3 linked regions of the Nothobranchius furzeri genome follow. The protein of the gene in region 1 purifies or fractionates together with the protein of each later gene. This does not show direct contact. Links are inferred from orthologs where the notes say so. Each region holds a gene or a part of one and is shown on either strand. Other genes may lie near its edges. The genes, in order: E3 ubiquitin/ISG15 ligase TRIM25, g3bp2a and g3bp1.

Evidence for each region.
Region 2: the proteins of E3 ubiquitin/ISG15 ligase TRIM25 (region 1) and g3bp2a purify together in Homo sapiens (affinity purification with mass spectrometry; 4 studies listed by BioGRID and IntAct, counting the BioPlex papers as one, with this or other methods). This does not show direct contact. The link is inferred for Nothobranchius furzeri from reciprocal best matches to the Homo sapiens genes TRIM25 and G3BP2.
Region 3: the proteins of E3 ubiquitin/ISG15 ligase TRIM25 (region 1) and g3bp1 purify together in Homo sapiens (affinity purification with mass spectrometry; 4 studies listed by BioGRID and IntAct, with this or other methods). This does not show direct contact. The link is inferred for Nothobranchius furzeri from reciprocal best matches to the Homo sapiens genes TRIM25 and G3BP1.

The regions. Positions count from the first base shown.
Region 1 is NC_091744.1:7,424,683-7,428,332, reverse strand, and holds part of E3 ubiquitin/ISG15 ligase TRIM25, read right to left. Parts: intron 3,456-3,650; coding exon 3,287-3,455; intron 3,029-3,286; coding exon 2,966-3,028; intron 2,890-2,965; coding exon 2,788-2,889; intron 1,663-2,787; coding exon 1,534-1,662; intron 1-1,533.
Region 2 is NC_091744.1:13,128,957-13,132,606, forward strand, and holds part of g3bp2a (ras GTPase-activating protein-binding protein 2), read left to right. Parts: intron 1-258; coding exon 259-360; intron 361-580; coding exon 581-686; intron 687-777; coding exon 778-837; intron 838-933; coding exon 934-1,065; intron 1,066-1,154; coding exon 1,155-1,282; intron 1,283-3,650.
Region 3 is NC_091741.1:69,282,922-69,287,326, reverse strand, and holds the start of g3bp1 (ras GTPase-activating protein-binding protein 1), read left to right. Parts: upstream 1-1,513; 5' UTR 1,514-1,648; intron 1,649-3,065; 5' UTR 3,066-3,087; coding exon 3,088-3,182; intron 3,183-3,287; coding exon 3,288-3,369; intron 3,370-4,217; coding exon 4,218-4,391; intron 4,392-4,405. UniProt on the Homo sapiens protein: Protein involved in various processes, such as stress granule formation and innate immunity. Plays an essential role in stress granule formation.

The sequences.
Region 1 (3,650 bases):
CCAAACAGCAGCAGTATAATCACAATTTGCAGATCACGTTTATTTTTCACAGAGATTGGCCGCGGATTCCTCTTCCTGTTGGCATTCTAGGAATTGAAACTAGGAATCGAAATAAAAAACTTTGAACGATTCCGGGAAAAATGAACAGTTGAAACTGGTTCCAATGGATGCTCGATGCCCAACCCTACTACAGACATAATTCCACTATCTGAGTGGAGTTTCTATTCTGTCTTCAAAAGCCCAGAAGATTCTGCAGTGCGTGTTGACATTTCAGGAGGACAAGATTGTCAGCCTGTGTTCCCAAACAAAGCTTTCGTCTGGTAAGACTGTAGGATTCCACACTCTGAATGAAAAGTGTACTGTTACAGCTCATAATCATTAAATAATCATATGGTTGAACCAAATGTTATTTGAGTAATGTTTGGATAATCTGTGCCTAATTCAGTGAAGTGAAATGAATATTATTATTACATTGAAAGATGTATATGTTAGGATCAGCAATGTTGATTTAACAAGGGAATCATCATCATGCTCATCATAAGATATAAATTACGGTTAAGGCCACATATCGCATAAGTTTAAAGATTCTTTATCCACAGAACATGAACACCTTGTATTAGATGAAGGTGTGGTTCTGAGGGATGTTTGGTAAACCTACAAACATGTCAAATTCTGATTTGCCAGAGTCGTAACATGGTGGATTAATAAAACAGGATTTACTTCCCAATTAACTCAAGTTTCTAGCTGACACCTCGATTCGGCCAAATCGGGAAAGAAGTCTTTTTGAAACAACCTCCTTTCACCTTAATTCAAAACCTTGCCACAACGCTGCAAGTGATTACAGACACAACAGCTCATTCCAGAGCTACTGCAACTCTCAAGATATCCTCTTGGATGCTTAATCTGCAGACCCGAGTTGTATCTCATGACCGGGGAAGTTGAACTCAGAGGAAGTGACCATTCTCTGAGGATCGTGGTCTCGACGTCCGGTGACCTCACCACTCTGACCACAAACCTCCAGACCGCCGGGAGCAACTCATACAAGGGTATCGTAGACTGCATACTGGTGTCTGATGCCGTTCTATAAATCATCAACTCTCTAGTTTATAGCAGACCAAATTCTGTTACACCCAGAACTCACAGTTTCTTCCAGATACGAAGGTTCTGATATACACCTACTTCACACATCACCATTCCATCATCACATATTACATTCCATCACATATCCTTATTCATAGCTTGTTATATATTATAATTAGTCTAGAAAATAGTTTATTTTTAATTATATACTTGACTCTGTCTGAATTAATACGAAGTGTGTTTATGGTCCCTGAATAAGCAAAGAATCTTAAATTCTTCTGGTTAAACATTCAAAGATCAATCAGGTTGATATTCTATATTTATATAGAATCATCACATCTTATTGGTCATAATTTAACCTCACAATTTCACTACATAATGGCGAGCCAGCCACATATGAGCGACCTGAGCTGGAGGTTAATAATTGATCCACCTGGAAACTCCCGATTCTACCTGGATTCTCTCTGGGTTCAGCTGCAGCCTGACACCCTCTGGCACCAAAATCCTCCTTCAGGTTTTCCATAGATTTCTTCAGGTTTTCTGAGGTGTTTTCAGCAGACTGGAGAGGACTTTTGGTGTTTTCTAAACAAAACAAAGTGAACTACTGTAAAAACATACAAAGACAGTTAAAACCAACAGACATTCTCAAGTTTAGGTAGCTTACATATCTTCCCGAGGCCCAGAGATGGCTTGTAGCTAGCGATGGGTACCGAATTCGGTACTTTTTAAGGTACCGACCGAATTCCATAGTACCGACTGAACACCGATTCACGTCATTTGAAACGGTGCCTCGTTTCGGTACCCGTCCTTCGCAACAAGAACTTGCCTAGACAGCTGAGCAAGAGCGTTAAGTCGTCGGTCGCTGCGAGCGAGTTGTAAACAGAGCAGCATGGTAGAAAGAACGCACGCTAAAGCTTGGGTCCACTTCACTAAATGTGATGGGTAACTGGGTGATGATGAAACCAGCGACAACGATCTAAGTGAGACATCATCTTAATCTGCTCCAGTAGGTAAATAAAATGTTTAAGATAACGTTAGCTTAATATGTTAGCTTCCGTTCTGCTAATGGTGTGTTCGCTTTCTCCTCGGAACTCTGAATTTCCGAATAGAAGAACATGAACGCGCTCTAAAGTTTGGCTTCACTTTACTAAATGCGACGGGTGATTAGGTGAAGATGAAACCAGCGACGACGATCTAAGTGTGAGGTATCATCGTTTTAATCTGCTCCAGCAGCTAAATAATCTGTTTAAGATCACGTTAGCTTGATAAATTAGCTTCCATTGCCACCATTATCAGCTAATGGTACGTTCGCTTTCTCCTCGGAAATTCTATCTTCCCAATGGGAAAAATCAAATGAAAAAGGACGGCAAAAGGAATGAAGATACAGAGTAAATTTAGTTCACAGTAAAGATGTTTGCTTCAGTTTAATTATCAGCTTATAAAACTACAAGGACGATGTTAAAATACAAACAGTTGCATGTTATTTCTCGTGATATTTATCAAATATGGTTATATATTGAGAAAAATATATATTGAAATATTAAACACTCAAAAGTATCTAAAATTGATACCGTTAAGTACCGGTATTGATTCCTAGGTACCGGGAATTAGCACTGAATCGATTCAAATGTCAAAGGTACCCATCCCTACTTGTAGCACTAGATTTTATTGTATCACATCTGTTAAGATCAAACATTTTAAATCTACCTTTTTTATTTGGCGGCTTCTTCTTCTGGCCCGCTTTGGCGGGCGGTCCAGGACTGTGGGATCTGGGGAGTCTCATAAGAGGAGGAGGAGGGAACTTAAGCTCTGAAAATTTTAGAAGAATACGATCAGTTTGATTTATTTATTTATTCATTTTTCCTACATATCACAACAAACTGACCTGACTGCTGACTAATTGCTGGATTCCCTTGTGTAAATCCAGTGGCAGAAGCTACCTTTTCACCTGCAGATGTGACAAAACGAATAATCTTCACCAGCTCACCTACTTACATTTAAAACACGCATCCACGGAGAGAAATCACACCCCTAAATAATGTTTTGATTACGTTCTTGTTTCCACCACACCCCAGAATAAACCAATCACCCTCTGCATTACTGTCAGCTATCACCTCTGCAATAAAAACGTGACAATATTTACTTCATATTTCTTTCTTCATGCATCTAAAATGAGTGATACCTAATTATTTATTTGCATGTTCACCTCTCTGAAGTATTGTTATCCTGGTTTCATGCGGATGTTTCAGGAGCTCCACCAGAAAGTTCTTCAGGGCTGCAGTAAAGGCCTCCGACTGCTTCACCTTCTTTGAGTCTAGACTGAGTCGAGGGGTATAGGGGTCAAAGTTCACGGCTGGAGGGAGGTTAAAATGAGCCTGGAAGGAGGAGAAACACCAGACTTTGAGGTTGAAATAATGTGAAAATGCATTTGATAAAGCTTTGGACCGGGAAAAAAAAACAATTCATATTTAATCTGAACATGATTAACATGGAACATATAAAAGCACACAGACAACCTGCACTAAAACAGCAGCAAATAGTAAAAACAACAGTGATATAATATATATCTA
Region 2 (3,650 bases), about 5.7 Mb from region 1:
ATTTTTTGTACTCGAATTATTCGAGGTACTCGAGGAATCGTTTCAGCCCTATACTTTTGTCTGCACTGTGAACGTAGCCTTAGTCACAGTTTAAGACAGAAAAGCGCTCCAGTTGAAGGTTGTGCTGTTTGTTTCCTACGTCTCACAACAGATTTTACTATACAGTCATTTAGTAAAGTTTCTTGTTCTTGCTTCAGATGCACAGATGTTGAACACGGGCGTTAATGGTGCTCTAAAGTTCACTTTCATTTCTCCCAGCCTTTCTCCTGGGCTCTGGTGACCAGTAAAAACCTTCCTCCTACTGGCACAGTCCCCTCTTCTGGAATCTCCCCACATGTTGTTAAAGCTCCGAGCTCACAGGTAAGTCAGACTTTACCATGGAAATATCAACATTCAATATGTATTTGAGGAAATTCTGTGTCTAAAGATGCACCAGAGTAAAAACCTGAAAGCAGCGCTCTAGTTAAACGTTTGTGAAGAGAGGCCCATTATCGGTGTGCTGGTTATTTCTGGGCCTTAGCCTATGTGTACATGGTACCATGTGGGGCTTAATTTTTCTTGTGTGATGTGCTTTATGCAGCCCAGAGTTGAAACAACAAAGCAAGAGACGCAGGCAGCACCGCTTCGCCCCAGAGATCAGCGAACCCGCGATAGACCAACCTTCACCCAGCGAGGTCCCCGACCCAGTAATACTTAAGCTTCTCAATTTCAGCCTTAATCCACTTTCCCCTTTGGACTCTCTTTCCTTTACTGTCTGCACATTTCTGTCACTAATAGATGGTGTTGGATCTTCAGAGACACAAACAGGGAAGCCACACTTAAGTTTTGTTAACAAAGGTATCACTTGTCTTCACGCTTTATTATTAGATTAGAATATTAATCCGTTGTTTATGTGGTGCAGATGTTGCTAATCTGGTGTGTGTTTGTGTTCAGGTGGCAGAGGAGACTCTGAATCCGGGGACATGGACAGCAGGAGGATTGTGCGGTACCCGGACAGCCACCAGCTGTTTGTTGGCAACCTTCCACATGACATCGATGAGAACGAGCTCAAGGAGTTTTTCATGAGTATGTTTGTTTCTCTCAGAAATCAACACTTTGGTATCTTCAGCTTTCTGCAGTCATCATCCAGTAAATGTTGTTTCTGTTTGTTGCAGCTTATGGGAACGTGGTTGAGCTGCGAATCAACACCAAAGGAGTCGGTGGGAAGTTGCCCAACTTTGGGTTTGTGGTCTTCGATGACCCCGATCCCGTGCAAAGAATCCTGGGGGCCAAGGTAGAAGGGGCATGTATCAACAATTCATTACCCATTTTCATTTGTGTGGTGGTTTGGGGACTCATCTTTTATTTGATTTACCACTTTTTAGTCCATTGTTCTGGAATTTCCTTTTTCATGCTGTCACAAAGAATTTTTCCATATCGTTTCATTATTTAAAGTATTTTGTTTTGCACGTTTATCCAGTCAACGCTTGCTTTCACCTCCTGCTCTGTATCACTTCTCTCAAGCCCGGATCACACTGAGCGATTTATTATTTTTTTGGCTGTCACACGGGAATTTTCAAGTCACACTTGAGAATTCCAGAAAGTGTCACACTGTACGGCGTAAGATTTCAGTGAGGCAGACTGCATGGCGTCTCTCCAGCAGGACACACTACTTCATGAGCACACCTCATGTAAGCATACGAAGCAGACCGCTAACAAAAACAAAGCTGAAAAGATTAAAACACTTATTTTTAGTGTCAGTTCATGACCCAACTCATCTTCCTCAAAGAGGAAGCTCGTCTCGTCTCGTCTTCCTCCGCTTATCCGGGTCCGGGTCGCGGGGGCAGCATCCCAACTAGGGAGCTCCAGGCCGTCCTCTCCCCGGCCTTGTCCACCAGCTCCTCCGGCAGGACCCCAAGGCGTTCCCGGACCAGATTGGAGATGTAACCTCTCCAACGTGTCCTGGGTCGACCCGGGGGCCTTCTGCCGGCAGGACATGCCCGAAACACCTCCCCGGGGAGGCGTCCAGGAGGCATCCTGACCAGATGCCCAAACCACCTCAACTGGCTCCTTTCGATCCGGAGGAGCAGCGGTTCTACTCCGAGTCCCTCCCGAATGTCCGAGCTCCTCACCCTATCTCTAAGGCTGAGCCCGGCCACCCTACGGAGGAAACTCATTTCGGCCGCTTGTATCCGCGATCTCGTTCTTTCGGTCATTACCCAAAGCTCATGACCATAGGTGAGGATTGGGACGTAGATCGACCGGTAAATCGAGAGCCTGGCTTTCTGGCTCAGCTCCCTCTTCCCCACGACAGATCGGCTCAGCGTCCGCATCACTGCAGATGCCGAACCAATCCGCCTGTCGATCTCCCGATCCCTCCTACCCTCACTCGTGAACAAGACCCCGAGATACTTAAACTCCTCCACTTGAGGTAGGACCTCTCCCCCGACCCGGAGGTGGCAAGCCACCCTTTTCCGGTCGAGAACCATGGTCTCAGATTTGGAGGTGCTGATCCTCATCCCAGCCGCTTCACATTCGGCCGCGAACCTACCCAGCAAGAGCTGAAGGTCAGAGCTGGATGAAGCTAGGAGGACCACATCATCCGCAAAAAGCAGAGACGAGATTCTCCTGCCACCAAACTCGACACACTCCACACCACGGCTGCGTCTAGAAATTCTGTCCATAAAAGTGATGAACAGAACCGGTGACAAAGGGCAGCCCTGGCGGAGTCCAACCCTCACTGGGAACAGGTCCGACTTACTACCGGCTATGCGGACCAAACTCACGCTCCTCTGGTAAAGGGACTGAATGGCCCTTAACAGAAAGCCACCCACCCCATACTCCTGGAGCGTCCCCCACAGGGTGCCCCTGGGGACACGGTCATAAGCCTTCTCCAAATCCACAAAGCACATGTGGATTGGTTGGGCAAACTCCCATGCCCCCTCCATCACCCTTGCAAGGGTATAGAGCTGGTCCACAGTTCCACGGCCAGGACGAAAACCACATTGCTCCTCCTCTATCTGAGATTCAACTATCGATCGGACCCTCCTCTCCAGTACCTTGGAGTAGACCTTTCCAGGGAGGCTGAGGAGTGTGATCCCCCTATAGTTGGAACACACCCTCAGGTCACCCTTCTTAAAGATGGGGACCACCACCCCGGTCTGCCACTCCCTAGGAACTGCCCCCGATGACCACGCAATGTTGTAGAGACGTGTCAACCATGACAGCCCTACAACATCCATAGCCTTGAGATACCCAGGACGAACCTCATCCGCCCCCGGGGCTCCGCCGCTGTGTAGTTGTTTGACTACCTCAGCAACTTCTGCCCCCGAGATCGGACAGTCCATCCCCAGGCCTCCCAGCTCTGGTTCCTCCTCGGAATGCGCATTGGTGGGATTGAGGAGCTCCTCAAAGTATTCCTTCCACCGTCCGACTATAGCCTCAGTTGACGTCAGCAGCTCCCCATCCTCACTGTAAACAGTGTGAGCGAGTTGCTGCCTTCCTCTCCTGAGGCGCCGGACAGTTTGCCAGAACCTCTTTGGAGCCGATCGATAGTCTTTCTCCATGGCCTCACCAAACTCCTCCCACGCCCGAGATTTTGCCTCGGCAACTGCCACTGCTGCACCCCGCTTGGCTATCCGGTACCTGTCTGCTGCCTCCGGAGACCCACA
Region 3 (4,405 bases), on another chromosome or scaffold:
CTAAACTCTTTTTGACATTGTAATGTGATGTGAGTAATTAAAAGTTTGCACTGAACACTTATTTGTAACATCAGAAAATCCTGGCTGCATGAATTGAAGGTGTGTCTATGAAAATCGGCTTGAATGAGCCAATTCAACATGAGAACACGCTGTTCAGATCTGACTGCCATTTAAGGTTGTTCATGTCTTCAGTCTGTCTGTTCAACGTTGTTGCACTGAGAGGTTTCATTTTCCCTGGCTAAGGCTGCTCGTGGTCCCCTGGGAGACAGCAGAGGGAGATCCGGAGCACCCTGTTACCATCTCCACCCGCTCATCCAGACTCCAGCGTCAGGAATGTGAAACAACCCCAGGGCCCATGAAGCCTGAAGTCCCTCCTCTCTGCCACAGCAGGGAAAAAATAATGAGTTCATCATGCTGTTGAAGAGAAGGTTTGGTGATTTAACACATTAAAATCTCATTCAGGTCATAAAGTCATAGGTGTGGTTTTAAGGAGAATTTTAAGAATTTAACAAAAACTACGAAATAAAAAATAAAAAATACAGGTGAGTTAAACATTTGAAGTGGCACCTTTTAGATTTGATGTTTGAATTTTTTTTAAAGAACCATCATCTGTGTTCTGGCTAACTTTTTTAGGATTGTCAATAATTACAGCTGGATTAATTAGTGATTAATAGATAATAGCTGATTAGATAGATTTCTTTCCAGTTTCCATAAAAAAAGCACATTAGCAAAACATTTGTACTACACATGAATCTAATACTTAAGATATCATATGTGAGGAATGACTCTGGAGGATTTCTTTTCCAGCTCCACAATATTCAATTATTTCATTTTGAATTTCTTTTTTCCTAAATAATTATTACAAGTTATAAAAGTTTCTAAAAGGACAAATTTCCCAGGCAGTCTATTGACCCCTCCAAAGTTAACAGAGCTAAGAACAGAAACAAACTCAAGAAATAATAAAAAAAACAACAATTTTTTAATGAAAGAAACAAACTTAAAAAAATCACGTTATGACATTCACAATGAATATTATGACACAGAGAAGGGGGAATCTGAAGATTTCAGTACCAACATAAATATTGTTCAATCAATGTTGTCTCAAATGTTCCATGTTAGGTGTTTAAAAAGTTGTCCAAATATTTATACATTTGTAACTCTTTTGCTTTTCATTTTAGTTGACATAACGTCTGAATTGTTTTGTTTCGAGACAGAATCAGCATAAATCAGTCTAATCTCAGATAAAACGCGCTTGCATCAATCTTCCACAAATTACATTAGCTCAAATGTTGGCCAAACACTTTTGTCGCCTCCAAGTGGAGAAAATGTAACAGTGCATATTGACTACGGGAGACGCCAGTTCTTAAAACCATCGCACCTTAAACCGTTACTCAAACTTCCATTTTCATCCGGGATACTCCTTGGCGCTTTATTTAATTGGTTGCTGACTAAAACCTTAATCTTATTGGCCAGAGAAGCTCTGAGAGGCGGGACATCATGTTCAGTTGCGATTGCGAGGGTGAAACCACCGGTATCCGGGTACTCCAGCACGTTGTGAAGCCGCTAGTTAACAGGCAGCTGCTACGCTGGTTAAAAAAAGTCACATTATTTCAAAGCAACGTTTTCATTTTAATAGTTTGATCAGTTGGTGAGTTGTTTCGTTCCTATTTATGCTATCCTATTTTCGAAAAAGCAAATTTTCATTTCGCCGCGCTTATTTGATTAACTGGGTTGGCGTCCCGGTCTCCGTCTATTTTCTGGCCTTGCGATGATGTTAGCTGGTTTTGGCCATTGTAGCTAAGCTATTACATAGGTGTTATAACTGTGCAGTTCGCTTAATTATTAAATTATTTAAAACACAAGGCTGTTACTGAAAGTTTGAAATTGTAACTTATTTGAAAATAATTATTAATCCCCAAGTTTCGCTTTTGCTATTTCAGGAAATAGCCACCGCCCTTTCAGTCGTGACTCCCGTTTTCTTTCTTTACAATATTACTTTCCACATTTGGAATTGTATGATCGAACCGAATTTGGTAGTGTTTCGTTGGTTTTATTTGTGTATAAACTACCACCTTGGGTGTGTGGTCGCTAAAAGCGAAAGGTTAGACCAGGGACCGTGCGGGACACGTGCTGGGGCTCCTTCCGTAACCTAGCAGCAGACGGGTCTCTGTTCAGCTTTGAGGCCGTGAGCTGCTCCAGCTGTCGTTGTTCAGCTCCGTGGTGTGGCCGGGCGTCGTGCCATGTGTGCTCAGGTTATATCTGGTAACGGCCGCCGGACTGGCCTTTAGTCCCTGAGGCGAGCGGGGGCCTCCATGACTCCATCACGGCTGGCACGGCGTGGCCTTTGTCTGCTTACAGTTCGAGCACCTTTACTCAAGACCGTGACTTAAGATAATAAACACAAGTCCAAGCTTATCCTCTGCGCGCATCGTGGCCCGGTGGCACATTCTGATCTCGATGGATTGCTTTGCTTGTTTCTTTAACTCGGTTTCATTTCATGATGGATGGGATTTCGCTGGTTGTCTTTATGAGGATGCTCATTTCTGGTTCTGAATGATCTGATAGAAGAAGGATTAGACCGTAGCTTCTATGTGACTAACGTAAATTCTCAGGTTTGATTACCTGTTCTTTATTTGCCTCCTGCCTGAGCAGAAACAGGTTCTCTCACCAACTCATTCATCAAATGTTGCCATAATGTGCTGCATAACGCTAGGTGCCAAAATTATTGTTGCAGGATTGTTAAAAACTAAATGAAGACAATAGTTTTTGATGACTATTAGTTATCAATGTTTACATTAAAACATTTTACAGTTAAAAATATTGTCTTTGATCAGGAACCTGAGCTACAAGTTTTTATTTCATTTTTACAAATTGATGTAAATATATCAAGACTAATGATTTCACTCTCTGTAGTCTGTGGAAGTAGCTGCCTTATGAATTTCTCCACTGTCGGATTAATGAAGTTATTTTATTCTGATTCTTGGATCAAATCACCAGTTTCTTTGTCCCTACTTGGAATCACAGTCCGTCATTTTCTTTGTCAGTGACACTTTTCTTATTTGCAGAGATTTCCAGTTGACCAAAGAAATGGTGATGGAGAAGCCAAGTGCCCAGCTGGTCGGGCGAGAGTTTGTCCGACAGTATTACACACTCCTGAACCAGGCCCCCGACTACCTGCACAGGTACGGAAGTCAGCTGCTTGTGGAGGGTTTGATTTTGAAGTTTAAATGGTTTTATGATAAATTGTTAAATATTTGTACAAACAACTAGTTTGTCTTTTTGTTCAGGTTTTACGGAAAGAACTCCTCCTATGTGCATGGTGGCCTGGACAGCAACGGCAAACCAGTAGAGGCGGTTTATGGACAATCTGTAAGTGGGCTTCACCCAGTTAGAGGCATTTTCCAGCGGCAATACTTGGTGCAACTCGGGAGGGTTCGGTTTGGTCTGATTGCTTTTGTCCAACGGCGCGTTTTGGTATTTTTCCCCTGCTTTCCCTCTACTTTTCAGTCCCTCTGTTTTGGTTCCAAGAGCTGAACCGGTATTTCGACTGTCGGCCACTGATTGGCTAGGGGGCGGAGTCACTGGTTGCTCCAGAGCCTTCTGTCTGCTGTCTGAAACCATAAAACTGAAGAGTGTTCAACATCACCTTTATTTTTGTGCAGAGTTGTTTCTGTGGAGCATGCAGGTCACCTCACAGTGTGTACTGATGACCTTGTGCTATTTTTGTCGCGTAAAGATCCCTGCACAAGCAAATGCTGTGGTCCCCCCCATCCGCTATGAGGGGTGCACCCACTTTTTGTCTCTGAGCAGGCAAGGAAAGCCAAGTACTCTGTGGTGAGCCGAGTTAACCCACGCTGCACTGAGCTGTTTTAGCCTGAGTAGTGCTGTTGGAAAAGGCCTGTTAGGTGTGTCTCATAGTCTCATGAATCTAGAATGTGAAATATTCATGAATATATTTTCTTTTCAAGAGTCATTGTTACACACTTGTTTTTTTCTTCCAGAAACTAAGTTTTCTAGGTAGTTTAACATTCTGATGAATGTTTATCAGTACTTTCTGATTTATTAATCCTCACGTAAATTGTTTTATTCTAATGCTTGTTAAAATAACCATTATCGCTCTTGTCATGTAGTTGGATAATTGAGAAATGATTGATTGCTGTTAAATGCCCAAATTAAATCTTCAGTTCGTTAAATCTTTTGAATTTTTTTTTTATCAGGAGATCCATAAAAGAGTGATGGCTTTGAGTTTCCGAGACTGCCACACTAAGATCAGACATGTGGACGCTCACGCTACTCTGAACGAAGGCGTGGTGGTGCAGGTGATGGGCGAGCTGTCTAATAACATGCAGCCCATGAGGAAGTTCATGCAGACCTTCGTTCTGGCACCAGAGGTTGGTATTAGATT